2 linked regions of the Saccharomyces cerevisiae S288C genome follow. The protein of the gene in region 1 purifies or fractionates together with the protein of each later gene. This does not show direct contact. Each region holds a gene or a part of one and is shown on either strand. Other genes may lie near its edges.

Region 1 (7,620 bases):
GAAAGCGCCAACACTTACTGTAACAATAATGATATGAGCCATAACGATGACTGCGGTTGTAGTACAGAATATCGCCCCAACGTCGTAGACAGAAGTGATATTACGTTGTCCAAATGTATTGAAGTAAGAAATGACTCATCTTCCATATCGAATAACGTATACTCGTCTGAGTACCATCCAATCAAACCTCTACGTTCATCGTCATCAACTTATGGCAGCATACGACAGCAACCTCATGAAAATAAGAAGCAGCTGCATGTACCAGATAATTCGCAGGACGATACAATTATCATGATGAACCCCATCGACAATTCATTAAAGTTGACAACTCTAGATACGGGTGATTTGAGTTTCCCCATAGACGAAGAACAGCCCATTTTGAAGAAATCTTTTGGTTATACATGGGCAGTTCCTAATGAAAATACACAAAATACTACTAAAAGCTTCACACCGATAAAGAGATTTATTGCATTTAGCACGGCATACCAGTTGGTCACCGGTTTATTGTTAATGATATTGGTAGTTGGTAGTAATATCATGTTGACAATTGGGGAATCATTGATTCTGTCGATGTATTTCGTCTATGTTCGCGGCCATGAAGGATTATTTACTCCCGTGGTGAACTACTTCGGCTCAAGAACCATTTCAAATTTCATCTTATGCGTAATAATTCCTTTCATATCTCTAAACTTCCTCATCAACACTTCGATATATTTAAGAAGAGAGCTAGACGATTGGTTTAATAATTCACAGGGGGAGTTTGAGGACGACGACGAAAATACTATCAGTAAGAGAGTAGCTACAAATCAAGAGTACCAACATCCACTGAGTGCTAATTACATTTCGATGGATAGTCCTGATGTAATAAATAGCAGCCCGGGTCACTTCGGGATGAATTCAGGCCAGTTGTTAGGTAATACGACGTTATATTATGGTAGTTTAAATGGGGATGATGATGATATGACCAACGACTCCGCTTTACTAAGATTCTGCAAGAAGCTAGTCAAAAATTGGAGGGCTTTGGCAAGAAATGATTCTTTTGTACTTGGAGTAATGGTTTCTTGGAGTCTTCTTGTTTTTGTAACGGGAATACTTTCAACAGTTTATATATAGCATATAAGTAACGACCGTGCACATATTAGGGTGTTCATATCTTGAAAAATCTTTATGTTATCCATTTTACTTTAGGGGAGGTGGAGCTTAATAATAAAATTTACATAAGAACAACAATCTGTAAGTAATTATAAAAATATATTAAAGGGACATTTTAACCCTACTTTAAAAGTTTAACTACATCAGTGGTTCATCAATCAAAGGTTATGCAAGGTAGAAATTTGTCCAAAAGAAAATAGATCATGCATCATTCAATATGGAGCTCACACTGTATGCTACAATTTGGCCTCCATTCATAACTGCCAAGATAAAATTTGTTGGCAATATGGAGCTCACACTGTATGCTACAATTTGGCCTCCATTCATAACTGCCAAGATAAAATTTGTTGGCAATATTGAAAATTCTTAAATTAGCGCTGCGCGGAAACCAGCGTCACTAATTTTTTTTTTTATTGCTGCACTAAAAAAAAACCAGCTCAAGTAGATAATCTTACAAGGGACAAGTAGTCAAGCCTTGCTTATTATAATTCTGTTTAACGGTGCAGTGAGTTTGGACATTCATGCAACGTGGTAAATATGTGTCTCTTTGCTTCTGTATTTAAGCATTTGGGCAGCTTGCGGTCAGTAGAAGAGTGCATCGACATTCATAGATCTCTAATAACATATATTTAAGTGGATATACGCAAAGAAAGGACAAGAAAACTTGTTTCGGTAACAGCATTATTAATTCTGAAGAAATACGCACAAAGAGATGATTTCTGACTACGATGCTCTTTTGCAATTCAACAAAAAACCTGTTTCGCAAGAAATGATTCAGTTCTTAGCCACTTCTACTGCTTCCATAATTAAAATCAGGGAAAATAATAATCCAATCCAAGGATGTCGCCCACCAGACTTATCTATCTTCATTAAAAACGTGGTAATTCAGTCAAATGTTCAAACACCAACTTTAATGGCCACATCAGTTTATTTAAACAAACTGAAAAGCGTAATACCAAAAAATGTGTACGGTATTAACACCACAAGACATCGGATATTTCTCGGATGCTTGATATTAGCTGCCAAAACTCTGAACGATTCTTCTCCCTGGAACAAACACTGGACCACGTACACAGAAGGTTTACTCAGAATACGTGAGGTGAATACCATCGAACGAGAACTATTAGAATATTTAAATTGGGATGTGAGGATAACTACACCGGATTTGATTGATTCTCTTTCTTACTTCCTCGGGCCTATCAAGGAACAACTATTTTTACAAAGGAGACAAGAAATGCTGTTGTTCAATGCACCAAGTCCCGGCCAACTGAAAGAATATATAAATCATAGAAGACCGGTTTCGCATTCTAGAACTTCTTCTGCTATATCGGTTCCTTCACTGACATCCATGGCAACAGTTTCGACAACAGACTCAAGGTCTTCTCTACTGGCAAAATACCAACCGTCCCTACCGTTGGTGGAATCTGACAACTTCAACAAAAAAAATCATGTGCCGTTAAGGAATAATAACGATATCTGTAATAATTTCAGGGCAGAGGAAAACATACACTCAGTAAACCATATTGATGTAACAATGGGAAGTTCACCAGTAATGTCGCATAAGCCCACAATTCACCAACGGTTAAATTTTACAAGGAGGGGCTGGTCATCGTTTTTCAAGCAATAATTCTAAGTTACTCGCCTTTTACAAGCTCTATAAATATTCTTTTCCGTTCTTTAGTTGTCTTAACTTTGTACAATATGAATAACCATCGTTTCTAGGCTACTAAAAAAACACCATACTACATAAACAAATATCTAATAATGAATACTCTTGGCATTCGTCTTGTTTCTCGAGGAATATCGGCCGAGTTTTTTTCATTTTGACAGGTTATATAATTCAAAATCTATCTGACTCTGAAAAAGTGGTAATAAATGCATTGACAACTTCTTCTCTTTATTTTACAGACATTAATCCAGCACTACAAGTGGCATATAACAAGATGCTAAGAAACATTTTGGTGAGAAGTACTGGCAGCAATTTCAAATTTGCTGGCAGATATATGAAATCATCAGCTCTTTTAGGATACTATAGAAGAGTTAACTATTATTCGACCAAGATACAAACCAGACTGACTAGCGAAAACTATCCAGACGTGCATCGAGACCCTAGATTCAAAAAATTAACGTCCGATGATCTAAATTATTTTAAATCTATTTTATCGGAACAAGAAATATTAAGAGCCAGCGAATCAGAGGATCTTTCATTTTATAATGAAGATTGGATGAGAAAGTACAAAGGACAGTCCAAGTTAGTATTGAGACCTAAGTCAGTGGAAAAAGTTTCTTTAATCTTAAATTATTGTAATGATGAAAAAATTGCCGTTGTCCCACAAGGCGGTAACACGGGGTTGGTAGGTGGTTCTGTGCCCATTTTTGATGAATTAATTCTATCTTTAGCAAATTTAAACAAAATAAGAGATTTTGACCCTGTATCAGGTATCTTGAAGTGTGATGCTGGTGTAATCTTGGAAAATGCTAACAATTACGTAATGGAACAAAATTATATGTTTCCGTTGGATCTGGGAGCTAAAGGTTCCTGCCATGTTGGTGGCGTGGTTGCAACCAACGCTGGAGGACTAAGGTTATTGCGTTATGGCTCACTACATGGAAGCGTTTTAGGCTTAGAGGTGGTAATGCCCAATGGTCAAATTGTTAATAGCATGCATTCCATGAGAAAAGACAACACCGGTTATGATCTGAAACAGCTGTTCATTGGCTCAGAAGGTACTATCGGTATCATCACTGGTGTTTCAATCTTGACTGTTCCTAAGCCAAAAGCGTTTAATGTATCTTACTTGTCTGTTGAAAGTTTTGAAGACGTTCAAAAAGTCTTCGTCAGAGCCAGGCAAGAATTATCTGAGATTTTATCCGCTTTTGAATTTATGGATGCTAAATCTCAAGTATTGGCCAAGAGCCAATTGAAGGATGCTGCCTTCCCTTTGGAGGATGAGCATCCATTTTATATTCTTATCGAAACGTCAGGGTCAAACAAAGATCACGATGATTCCAAACTTGAAACATTTTTAGAAAACGTCATGGAAGAGGGCATAGTAACGGATGGTGTAGTGGCACAAGATGAAACCGAACTCCAAAACTTGTGGAAGTGGAGAGAAATGATTCCAGAGGCAAGTCAAGCTAATGGTGGTGTTTACAAATACGATGTTTCTTTACCACTAAAGGACCTATATTCTTTGGTTGAAGCCACTAATGCAAGACTTTCTGAAGCTGAATTAGTGGGTGATTCGCCCAAACCAGTGGTGGGCGCCATTGGATACGGTCACGTGGGTGATGGTAATCTACACTTAAATGTTGCAGTTAGAGAGTACAACAAGAACATTGAAAAGACTTTGGAACCATTTGTCTACGAGTTTGTTTCCTCAAAACATGGTTCCGTTAGTGCCGAACATGGGCTAGGTTTCCAAAAGAAAAATTACATTGGCTATTCTAAGAGCCCGGAAGAGGTCAAGATGATGAAGGATTTGAAGGTTCATTATGATCCTAATGGAATTTTAAACCCTTACAAATACATTTGAAAATAAAATGCCAAGTTTTATAGTTATCTACATATGTATATATTTATCAATATTATATTCTACAATTGTGTATATTATATGGTAAGGGTGATATTTAAGGAAGAAATCCACCCTTCTTTAAGGTTTCCACTGCACATGTTGAAATGTGTCTGAATCTTGATGAGCCCAAAGGCGTGCCACCATACCATCTGGTCACTATTACCAAGACGTTGAATATGTTTGCTCTTTCAAGTAAGGTCAATAAACGCTGTCCAGCACCAGCTTCGCCACAGTCAGCACATCCTTGCTCAATGTTCTTTGGCTGCACCGTTATGTTCCTTGACTTGTTAACATGACTATTATTACTCTTATTTGCTTTATTGCCCTTCTTTTTCTGCTCTTGTTGTAAGTGCAAATTATTTGATACCTCGGCCGTTCTCCAGGCATACATGTGCATGTGGGATGCCTTGGAGACGCTTTTGTTGTTTTGCGTTAGTTCTTGGAGTATGGAGGGTATATCCTTTTGATTTTGTAATGGGCAACATCTTGCTTGAAATTTCGATTTTCTATCAACTAAAACTTCTGATTCATTCCATATTTTCACTAGCTTACCAACATTCTTACTCATTTCTCCAAAAAATAGTAATACCAAACATCAATACCTATCTAAGAATCTGTATAATGTCTTTTCTAAAGGTTTTTTACAGCTGATGATTGATGCATGACTTATTTCCACAGTGCCGTATTTTCTCAGTTGCCGTTTTGGGTCTGCTTTTCACAATGCGAAGCTTTGTTGAAAAGAGCTCTAAGGTCAAAAACAATAGTAAGCTGATCGGTATTAAGTACTTGCCTTCCTGAAAATTGCTAACAAACATCCAAATATACCTTCCCCATAGTTGAATGGCATCTAATAGAACAAAACCAGGTTAAGATAGGTTTTACTTTGAGTTGTTAAATACACGCAGAAAGCGTCTTTCCACATAATCTGAACATTTTGTTATCGATGGCTACTGGCAGGATTCAATTTGCTGTTTCTACTCCCTGCAATACTAAGGGTAAACCGTCTGGTTATAGGTTATTTGAATTTAAAAACGATCGATTAGCACTGGTCCCATCAGAAAGAGGTTGTACAAAAGTAGATGTGAATGCAAATATACAAGCGTTTTGTTATTTAAGGCCTAATGGTAGAGACACGTCAATATCTCCAGACGCAACGCATATTTTGGACTCATGTGATTACATGGTGCTGGCTAAATCCAACGGATTCATTGAAATCATAAGCAACTATCAATACAAGATAAAAAATGGCCTGCGATTAGCGCCCTCTTATATCCTTAGATGTACTCCGGAAGATTTCGAATCCAATTTTTTTAGTGACTATATGATCGCTGGTCTTGAATATAGTCAAGGTTTATTATATTGTTGTATGTGCTCCGGTCGAATATATGTCTTTGTAATGAACCTTCCCACTGATTACATTCAGTATAAGAACATGTACAACCCCATGTTTCCAGATTGCTTTTTCAAAGTACATCACGATAATAATACAACACATTCTTCAGAAGAAGAAAAATTATTTGAAGGTAGTACGCGGTACACTGGAAGGTCATGCTCTAAGCATATCTGCTACTTCCTTTTGCCTATAGAACCATCCCATTTAAGATCGTCACCCGTGGTATCTTCGTTTTGCAATATGTATCAAGGCCTGCCCATATATAGGCCTTCGATGTATTTACATATAGAACGAGGTATTTCCACATTCCATATAAATCCATTAGACCGGTTTTGTTTCATGACAGTATCGCCACGATCACCACTATTTATAAGGAAAATAATTTTACCATTGACTTATGTTACATTTTTAAGCACCTTTATCAGCCTAAAGAACAGTATACAGGGAGATACATGCGGTGAGATACTTTCGTGGGACAACGTAGCGCAACAAAATGGATTTGGTTCTTTGTTCAGCTGGATTAGTAACAAGTTTACATTCGATACGGATATTATAAATTCAACCATTTGGGATGATATTGTAAAATATTCTGGAACAGGAATGCTGGATTCAGGAATCGTCTGGAAACAGCGTCAAGGTCACGCTAAAGATGACATATATGAGTTATTCCACACTCAAGATATGCTGGGAAGTAGTCGCCGAAATTCTTCATTCAGTACTGCTAGCAGCGAACCGAGACCGCTGAGTCGAAGAAGGAGAGAATCTTTTCAAGCCTTAACTAGAGACGCTTTTAGAGAAAGAATGGATGTACCCTGTTCAACGAAGTGGGAATTAGATTCTTTTATCCGAGGATTAAGAAGGAATACATTTATGGTAGATTTTGAAATTGTTGAAAAGATTTCTCATAGAAATGGAAATGATGGGGTGAATGAAGATGATAACACTACAGATGAAAGTGATGAAACAATGACTTCTTTTCTAACAGATAATTACAAAAAGATGGACATTGTGTGCATCGATCATTTCGTCACGTTGAGTGCATTCCGACCTCGGTACTATGATGAACCAATAATTAAAATCGATTCATTATCGAACAAAAATGGCTCTGAAAATGGAACTAATGAAGAAGAGTGGGCAGAAAGTCAAATGAAGGTGGATGGCCAAGTGATAGATGATGAGACAGCTCAATTCAAGCAGGCATTGGGAAATTTATGTTCATTCAAGAAATTATTTATGCTGGATGATTCTTTATGCTTTATATTGGACACACATGGAGTTTTGTTGATAAATAGATTTGAAATAAAAAATACCAAAAATTTGTTAAGGAATTCCAAGGATACTATTCGGATAATACCCCATGATTTCGGATTGATTAATGATACAATTGTTATAATTAATGATATAGACGTAGGCACAGACAATGTTTGCGCCCTTACGTTTCACTTGGTGGTAACATCAATGGCAGGAGAGATAACTGTTCTTAAAGGCGAATTTTTCAAA
Region 2 (6,916 bases), on another chromosome or scaffold:
ACCACGAATTCATTAGGGGTATAATAAGAGATAACGTGGTGCCTTGGAGCGAAAAATTGATTGAGATGGAGGACAAAAAAATTCCCAACTCCGCCATTGCTGACATGGAAAAAGAATGGTACCATGAAAATGAGCTGTTTACATTTGAAGAGGCCTTAGAAAAGCAGTTTACGGCAAGCGAGTTTGAAAGCTATAAAGAAAAGAAGGAAGACCTTATGGTAAACAAGCTGGGTAGAGCATACCTAAGCTTAAGAGAAATGAAACTTTTAGCTCAAGAAGTGACACCACTAAAGAAAATTATATTTGACTGGGATGCTCCGAGGACCAAAGAGGGATATTACATGTTTAACGGTTGTATTGAAGCAGCTATTAGAAGATCTTTGGTGTTTGCCCCATATTCTGATATGATTTGGCTGGAAACGAAAACTCCTGACCTGGAGCAGGCACGCTCATTTTCAAGAAAAATTCATAAACAACTTCCAGCTACCAAGCTAGTATATAACTTATCTCCTAGTTTCAATTGGAGCGCTCACGGCTTTGATGATAAGGCATTAAAATCCTTCGTATGGGACTTGGCAAAAGAAGGCTTCACGTTGCAACTGGTTTCCCTTGCCGGTCTGCATTCAGATGGAGTATCATTCTGGGAATTAGCCAATAGCTTCCAAAGTGACGGAATGAAAGCATACGTCGAAAAAGTGCAAAAACGGGAAAAGGAGACTAATTGTGATATCATGACACACCAGCTATGGTCTGGTGCAGAATATGTTGATTCCTTAATGAAAGTTGTCCAAAACGGTGCTTCATCCCAAACTTTAAGTACATCTGGTGAGAGCTTTACCGAAACGCAATTTTGAATACGCTTCAAGAAGATAAAAGTATAAATAATACATATTGCCAGCAACTTAGTCACATATCTCTTTTATCTCTATTTATCCTCTTTTTATTAATTTATGACCACGATCACTATATTTAGTTCGAAAGTTAGTGTTTGTTTTGCCAAGATATCCTCGCAGAAACAGTTTTACTTAAAGTTTCAGGTGTTGCGTGGAATGCCCCTGCTAAGCTGTCGTGTCGCGCTCTTCCCCGCGTTTGTTTCACATTATATATCATATGGCGTATGACGGTATGGGTGAAAATAAGCGTAGGCTGGTTGTGTGTATTTCTCTCGCACTTTGAAAGGGAAAAATAAAAATAGAGTCTATTAGGAAGCTCACATATGCCGGGAAAAATTACGTAAAGCATCAAAAGGGAAAGAAAATATAGGGAAAGATAAAACAAAAAGCAGAACGGTATCAGGCATTCTTGTTTTAGCCTTTATGTACGATATGGCGTTTATTATGGAGAATATTGAGGTATTCAACTATTTAATACTTGCTATAAATTCTGCCAAACTACTAATCATTCCGTTTATATAACTCAAGAAAAGAGAAATACAGAAACAAATAGATCAGATGCATTTCAAAGATTTAGGATTGCATGACTACACTCTCAAAAACTTGATGTATGAGAATAATTGCTGTAAATTTTATGATGCCGTGGATGAAAACAACATCTCATATGTTTTAAAATTTGTTCCCTCAGATGTGACTTCGGAAGGGGATACTTTCCCATTCGTGGATCGCTTTCAAGTAAAGGAAGGTGTTTTTTTGGTATATTCCTCAAATGACTTTGGAAAAGAAGGTACGGACTACTTTACTTATACTGGTAGTGGTGGAAATGAGGTTCACATCTCGGGCACCTCTTCAGAAGCAGGAATAAAACCGCAGTTTATTGAAACTTGCCATCCAAAACATCTTAAGCGGGGAACAAAAGAGCAGGAAGATATAAATAGTAGTACCTCAAAGAAAAGTGCAGTTATCAACAATTTTTCGGGTGAAAAAACACCAAATCCAAGGCCACAGAGTTCCAACATTTCAGAAAGAGAGACGTATGTCGGAATATTGAACGTCAAATGTAAAAATAAGAACTCATCGAAAATACGAAGTGAAAAATTGGTAAGCTCCGTCATCGAAACAAAGCATACGCCAGGATTGGCATCTATTTTATCGAAAGAAGGCACTACATATCCGAATAATGCGGACGGGAAACATATCAGTATCGTGAATCCATCCTCAAAAATATATCATTCATCCCATAAACAGATTGTTAAAACGCCTATCCCTAAGAGTGGCCTTTCTCCAATTGAGAGATGCCCTTTCAATGGTCAAAATATTAAATGCTACTCACCAAGACCACTAGATCATGAAAGTCCCCAACGTGATTTCAATAATAACTTTCAGCTGAGAATACTGAAGAGCTCGGTGTTGCAAAGGAGACAATCAACACAGAATAGTTGAAAAATTCGTTGGTACTAGCTTCGGGTCGGTTAGCTGCGCTGCTATGCATTTGTTAATATCTCCATCGAATTTTTGTTGTTTCGTTCAATAACTTTATTACTTCCCCCTTGGACTCTTTCGTTCTATCGTTCTACAAGTCCAGCCAAAATTTTTCCCCTCTTCCTTTTCTTTTGTTCACTTCTTAGCTCACTTATATAATTATATACTGATATTTGGATTCTTTTGTTGCAAATATGCTCTCCCAGATTTTTCTGTTGAGATGATTCATGCTTTACATGGATTGAGCATTAGAGAGTAACTATATCCAATTTCGTAAGACGAGTATCTACTTTCCCTTGTCCCCAGTAACCTCAGGAACGTGACAACTACTTTTCTTAAACTGTCAACAGCCAATGATACCGTATTCAATGCATGTCTTGGGATTAAGCCACTTTGATTGAGTTCCGTATTAGTAGTGAGAATTAAATCTTGCAAGATATAAGAATTACTCAACAGAGACGAGATACTTTCCTTTTTTTGGTTCTTTTGTTGTTACTTGGCTTAATGGACAAAGTCTGCTCGCATATTGTATATGTTACTCTTACGATGTGACTCCGCCCGTTTATTATGACTTTTCGGTACATTTTTAGGGCCTCGAACGAAAATCTACTAACTAAAAATTAAAAACAATTAAAATAATCAACAAACAAAATCTAGTGATATAATTTACTACCATTAACGGTAAAGCAGCTAATTGTTAATTTCTATGTTTAAATCATTGGCTGCTGTCTTGCCTAGAGCTAGCAAGGCAAAGTTCCTCCAGAAAAATTACGCCTCCACTTTAGCTTTCATTGAAAGCTCAAAAGATGGCTCTGTTTCAAGGTCATCATTGAGTTTATTGGCTGCTGCACAAAAGTTGTCTAACCCTATCACAGCTGTAATCACAGGTAGCAAAGCTGAAAAAACTGCTGAGGCGCTAAAATCTTCATATTCATGCAGCAATTTAGAAAAGCTTGTCATATTTGAAGATTCAAAATTAGATACCTGTCTTCCCGAACAACTAACTCCGTTATTAGTGAAACTATTAAAAGGCGGCGACTATTCACATTTTGTTGTCTCAAACTCCTCTGTTGGAAAAAGTGTTTTACCTCGGGTGGGTGCGCTCTTGGACGTCCAACCTGTTTGTGAGGTTACTGTAATCAAAGATCCTAAGACCTTTATAAGGCCAATTTATGCAGGTAACATTATTTCTACAATAGAATGCCAGGCAGAAAAAAAACTGTTGATTATTAGGGCATCAGCTTTTCCACCAATTGCAGAGGGTAGTATGGATTCTGTTACCATTGAGAAGAGAACTGATATTCCTCCTTGTGACTTAAATGTTACCTGGGTTAAAACTATTCTTACCAAGAGTGAAAGGCCTGAACTTACTTCTGCACAGAACGTGGTAACTGGTGGAAGGGCACTCAAGGATAAGGAGACATTTGAGAAGCTATTATCGCCGCTAGCAGATGTTTTGCACGCTGCTATAGGTGCCACAAGAGCTTCTGTTGATAATGGACTATGTGATAATTCTCTACAAATCGGTCAGACTGGTAAGGTAGTCGCACCAAATTTGTATATAGCCATTGGCGTTTCTGGTGCAGTTCAGCATTTAGCGGGAATGAAGGATTCGAAAGTTATCGTTGCCATTAACAATGATCCTGATGCCCCTATATTTAATGTCGCTGACTATGGGTTGCAAGGGGATCTTTACAAAATAGTCCCTGAACTAACTGAAAAACTTGGTAAATATAAATAAATAAATTCTTAACTTCTAAATATATTCATCTCTTCGCTTTGAAGGGGGCACGTTTTACTTTTCCTAGTTCTCTTGCCTTTTTAAAAATGACCTTTTCGGTGTAAAGCGGACTAAATATAAAAGACTACGAGAAATGGCAAAGGAATAATAGAGTTCTTCCAGATGGGAGAATATGAGGAGAACAATAACTCCACAAACTTCCTAGTGATTTCCAAGAACTTACGGAAACAATTATAGGATGACATCAAATAATTCGTTATTGGGGCGTGGAAGGATGTCATATTCCTCTACCGCTCCACCAAGATTCAAAAGATCAGTCGACCAGCGTGACACTTTCTCGGACAATTTTGATTATGATAAGGATTCATCCAATCGAGGCAGGACCTATATTGCAGCATCTAATTCAACTACTGGGGTACCCCCACCCAACAACTCAAGATCAGGATGCACCAATAATACAAATAATACAAATAATACAAGTAATACAAGTAATACGAACAATAATGATAGCGTTGATGAGAATACAGTGTTTGAAACTTTACCTTATTACCTGCCCTGCTTTTCATGGCTTCCTGAGTACACTTTCAATAAACTGTGGGGCGACGTAATCGCAGGTATCTCAGTAGCGTCATTTCAGATACCACTTGCGCTATCGTACACAACTTCAATTGCACATGTCCCACCTTTATGCGGACTATATTCTTTGGCTATTAGCCCATTTGTCTATGGTATTTTAGGTTCTGTTCCTCAGATGATAGTTGGGCCCGAAAGTGCAATTTCCTTGGTCGTGGGACAAGCAGTCGAATCTATAACACTACATAAAGAAAATGTTTCTCTAATTGATATTTCAACAGTAATAACATTTGTTAGTGGCACTATCCTACTTTTTTCTGGTATTTCCAGATTTGGTTTCCTTGGAAATGTTCTTAGCAAGGCACTTCTACGAGGTTTCATAAGTTCAGTAGGACTGGTTATGATAATCAACTCTTTGATTTCTGAATTAAAGCTAGACAAATTTTTAGTAAGCTTGCCTCAACACTACCATACCCCTTTCGAGAAAATACTTTTCCTCATTGATTATGCACCAGCACAATACCATATACCAACGGCAATATTCAGCGGATGTTGCTTGATTGTCCTCTTTTTAACGCGTCTACTAAAGAGGAAATTAATGAAATATCACAAGAGCGCAATATTTTTTCCAGATATATTATTGGTGGTAATTGTTACTATTCTTATTTCCATGAAATTTAATTTAAAACACAGATATGGTATTTCTATCATTGGCGACTTTAGCATGGACAATTTTGATGAATTGAAAAACCCTTTAACTCGTCCTAGACGTAAGCTAATACCAGATCTTTTTAGTGCATCTCTAATAGTGGCAATGTTGGGTTTTTTTGAATCTACGACCGCGTCGAAATCTCTTGGAACAACTTACAATCTTACCGTTTCCTCTAATAGAGAACTAGTAGCTTTAGGATTCATGAATATTGTCATCTCATTATTCGGTGCTCTTCCCGCATTCGGCGGATATGGAAGATCCAAGATCAACGCCCTATCAGGAGCACAAAGCGTAATGTCGGGAGTGTTTATGGGTGTCATCACCCTAATCACAATGAATTTACTTCTTCAATTCGTACATTATATTCCTAATTGTGTTTTATCCGTCATAACAACCATCATCGGAATTAGTTTATTAGAGGAAGTGCCAGGCGACATAAAGTTCCATTTGCGATGTGGTGGCTTTAGTGAACTATTTGTTTTTGCTGTTACCTTCTGCACTACAATATTTTACTCAATCGAAGCAGGAATATGCATCGGATGTGTCTATTCAATTATAAATATTATAAAGCATTCAGCAAAGTCAAGAATCCAAATTCTGGCTAGGGTAGCGGGAACGTCGAACTTTACGAATCTTGACGACTACATGATGAACATGAAAAGGAACTCTCTGGATGTTGAGGGCACAGAAGAAATCGAGGGATGCATGATTGTTAGAATACCTGAGCCTCTCACATTTACAAACAGCGAAGATTTAAAACAGAGACTTGACAGAATAGAGAGGTACGGTTCGTCTAAGATACATCCTGGAAGGAAATCACTTCGCTCGAAGGATTCCATAAAATATGTCATTTTCGATTTAGGTGGGATGACCTCAATAGATTCTTCAGCCGCCCAAGTGCTGGAGGAAATTATCACTAGTTACAAGAGGCGCAATGTCTTTATTTACCTTGTCAATGTATCTATAAATGACAAAGTAAGAAGGCGATTATTCAAAGCAGGTGTAGCTGCTAGTGTGGAAAGAGCGCAAGCAAATAACAACGAAAATAATACTAGCAACACATTTAGTGATGCAGGAGAGACATATTCTCCGTACTTCGATAGCATTGATGCGGCTCTTTATGAAATTGAGAAAATGAAAATTAAAGGGAACAACGTCCCGAACAATGATTCGGAGAGTTTTATGTCCAATACTTTATTTAATTCAAGTCTAGTGTAAAACTTCGAAAGAAACAGAGGAGTCTGGGCATATGCGCATTATGAAATTTATTCCTTGCGGCCCTATAATATTTTTGGGGCTTATTTATCAAAACAGTATTGTCTCCTCAATTCTTTAGTTTATTTATTTCTTTACGATAAAATCGTTAACAAGCTTTCAAGAAGCGCATTTATACGTTATAAAACCCACAAAATTGAATACAAAAGCAAAACCTTATTGTCTTAATGAGCCGCACAAACGCACAAACACTTAAACAATCACTTTTGATCCGAGTTTCCGCTCTCCTCGCTCTAGTTA

What was found.
Region 2: the proteins of DLD2 (region 1) and AIM45 purify together in Saccharomyces cerevisiae (affinity purification with mass spectrometry, with the first as the bait; 2 studies listed by BioGRID). This does not show direct contact.

The regions. Positions count from the first base shown.
Region 1 is NC_001136.10:136,427-144,046, forward strand, and holds DLD2 (D-lactate dehydrogenase), read left to right. Parts: upstream 1-3,095; coding exon 3,096-4,688; downstream 4,689-7,620. Other genes in the region: AIT1 (Ait1p), read left to right, coding at 1-1,113; PCL9 (Pcl9p), read left to right, coding at 1,865-2,779; YDL177C (uncharacterized protein), read right to left, coding at 4,783-5,295; GID12 (Gid12p), read left to right, coding at 5,671-7,620.
Region 2 is NC_001148.4:561,207-568,122, reverse strand, and holds AIM45 (Aim45p), read left to right. Parts: upstream 1-3,081; coding exon 3,082-4,116; downstream 4,117-6,916. Other genes in the region: methylisocitrate lyase ICL2, read left to right, coding at 1-854; HAL1 (Hal1p), read left to right, coding at 1,452-2,336; YPR003C (uncharacterized protein), read left to right, coding at 4,355-6,619. UniProt on the Saccharomyces cerevisiae protein: The electron transfer flavoprotein serves as a specific electron acceptor for several dehydrogenases, including five acyl-CoA dehydrogenases, glutaryl-CoA and sarcosine dehydrogenase.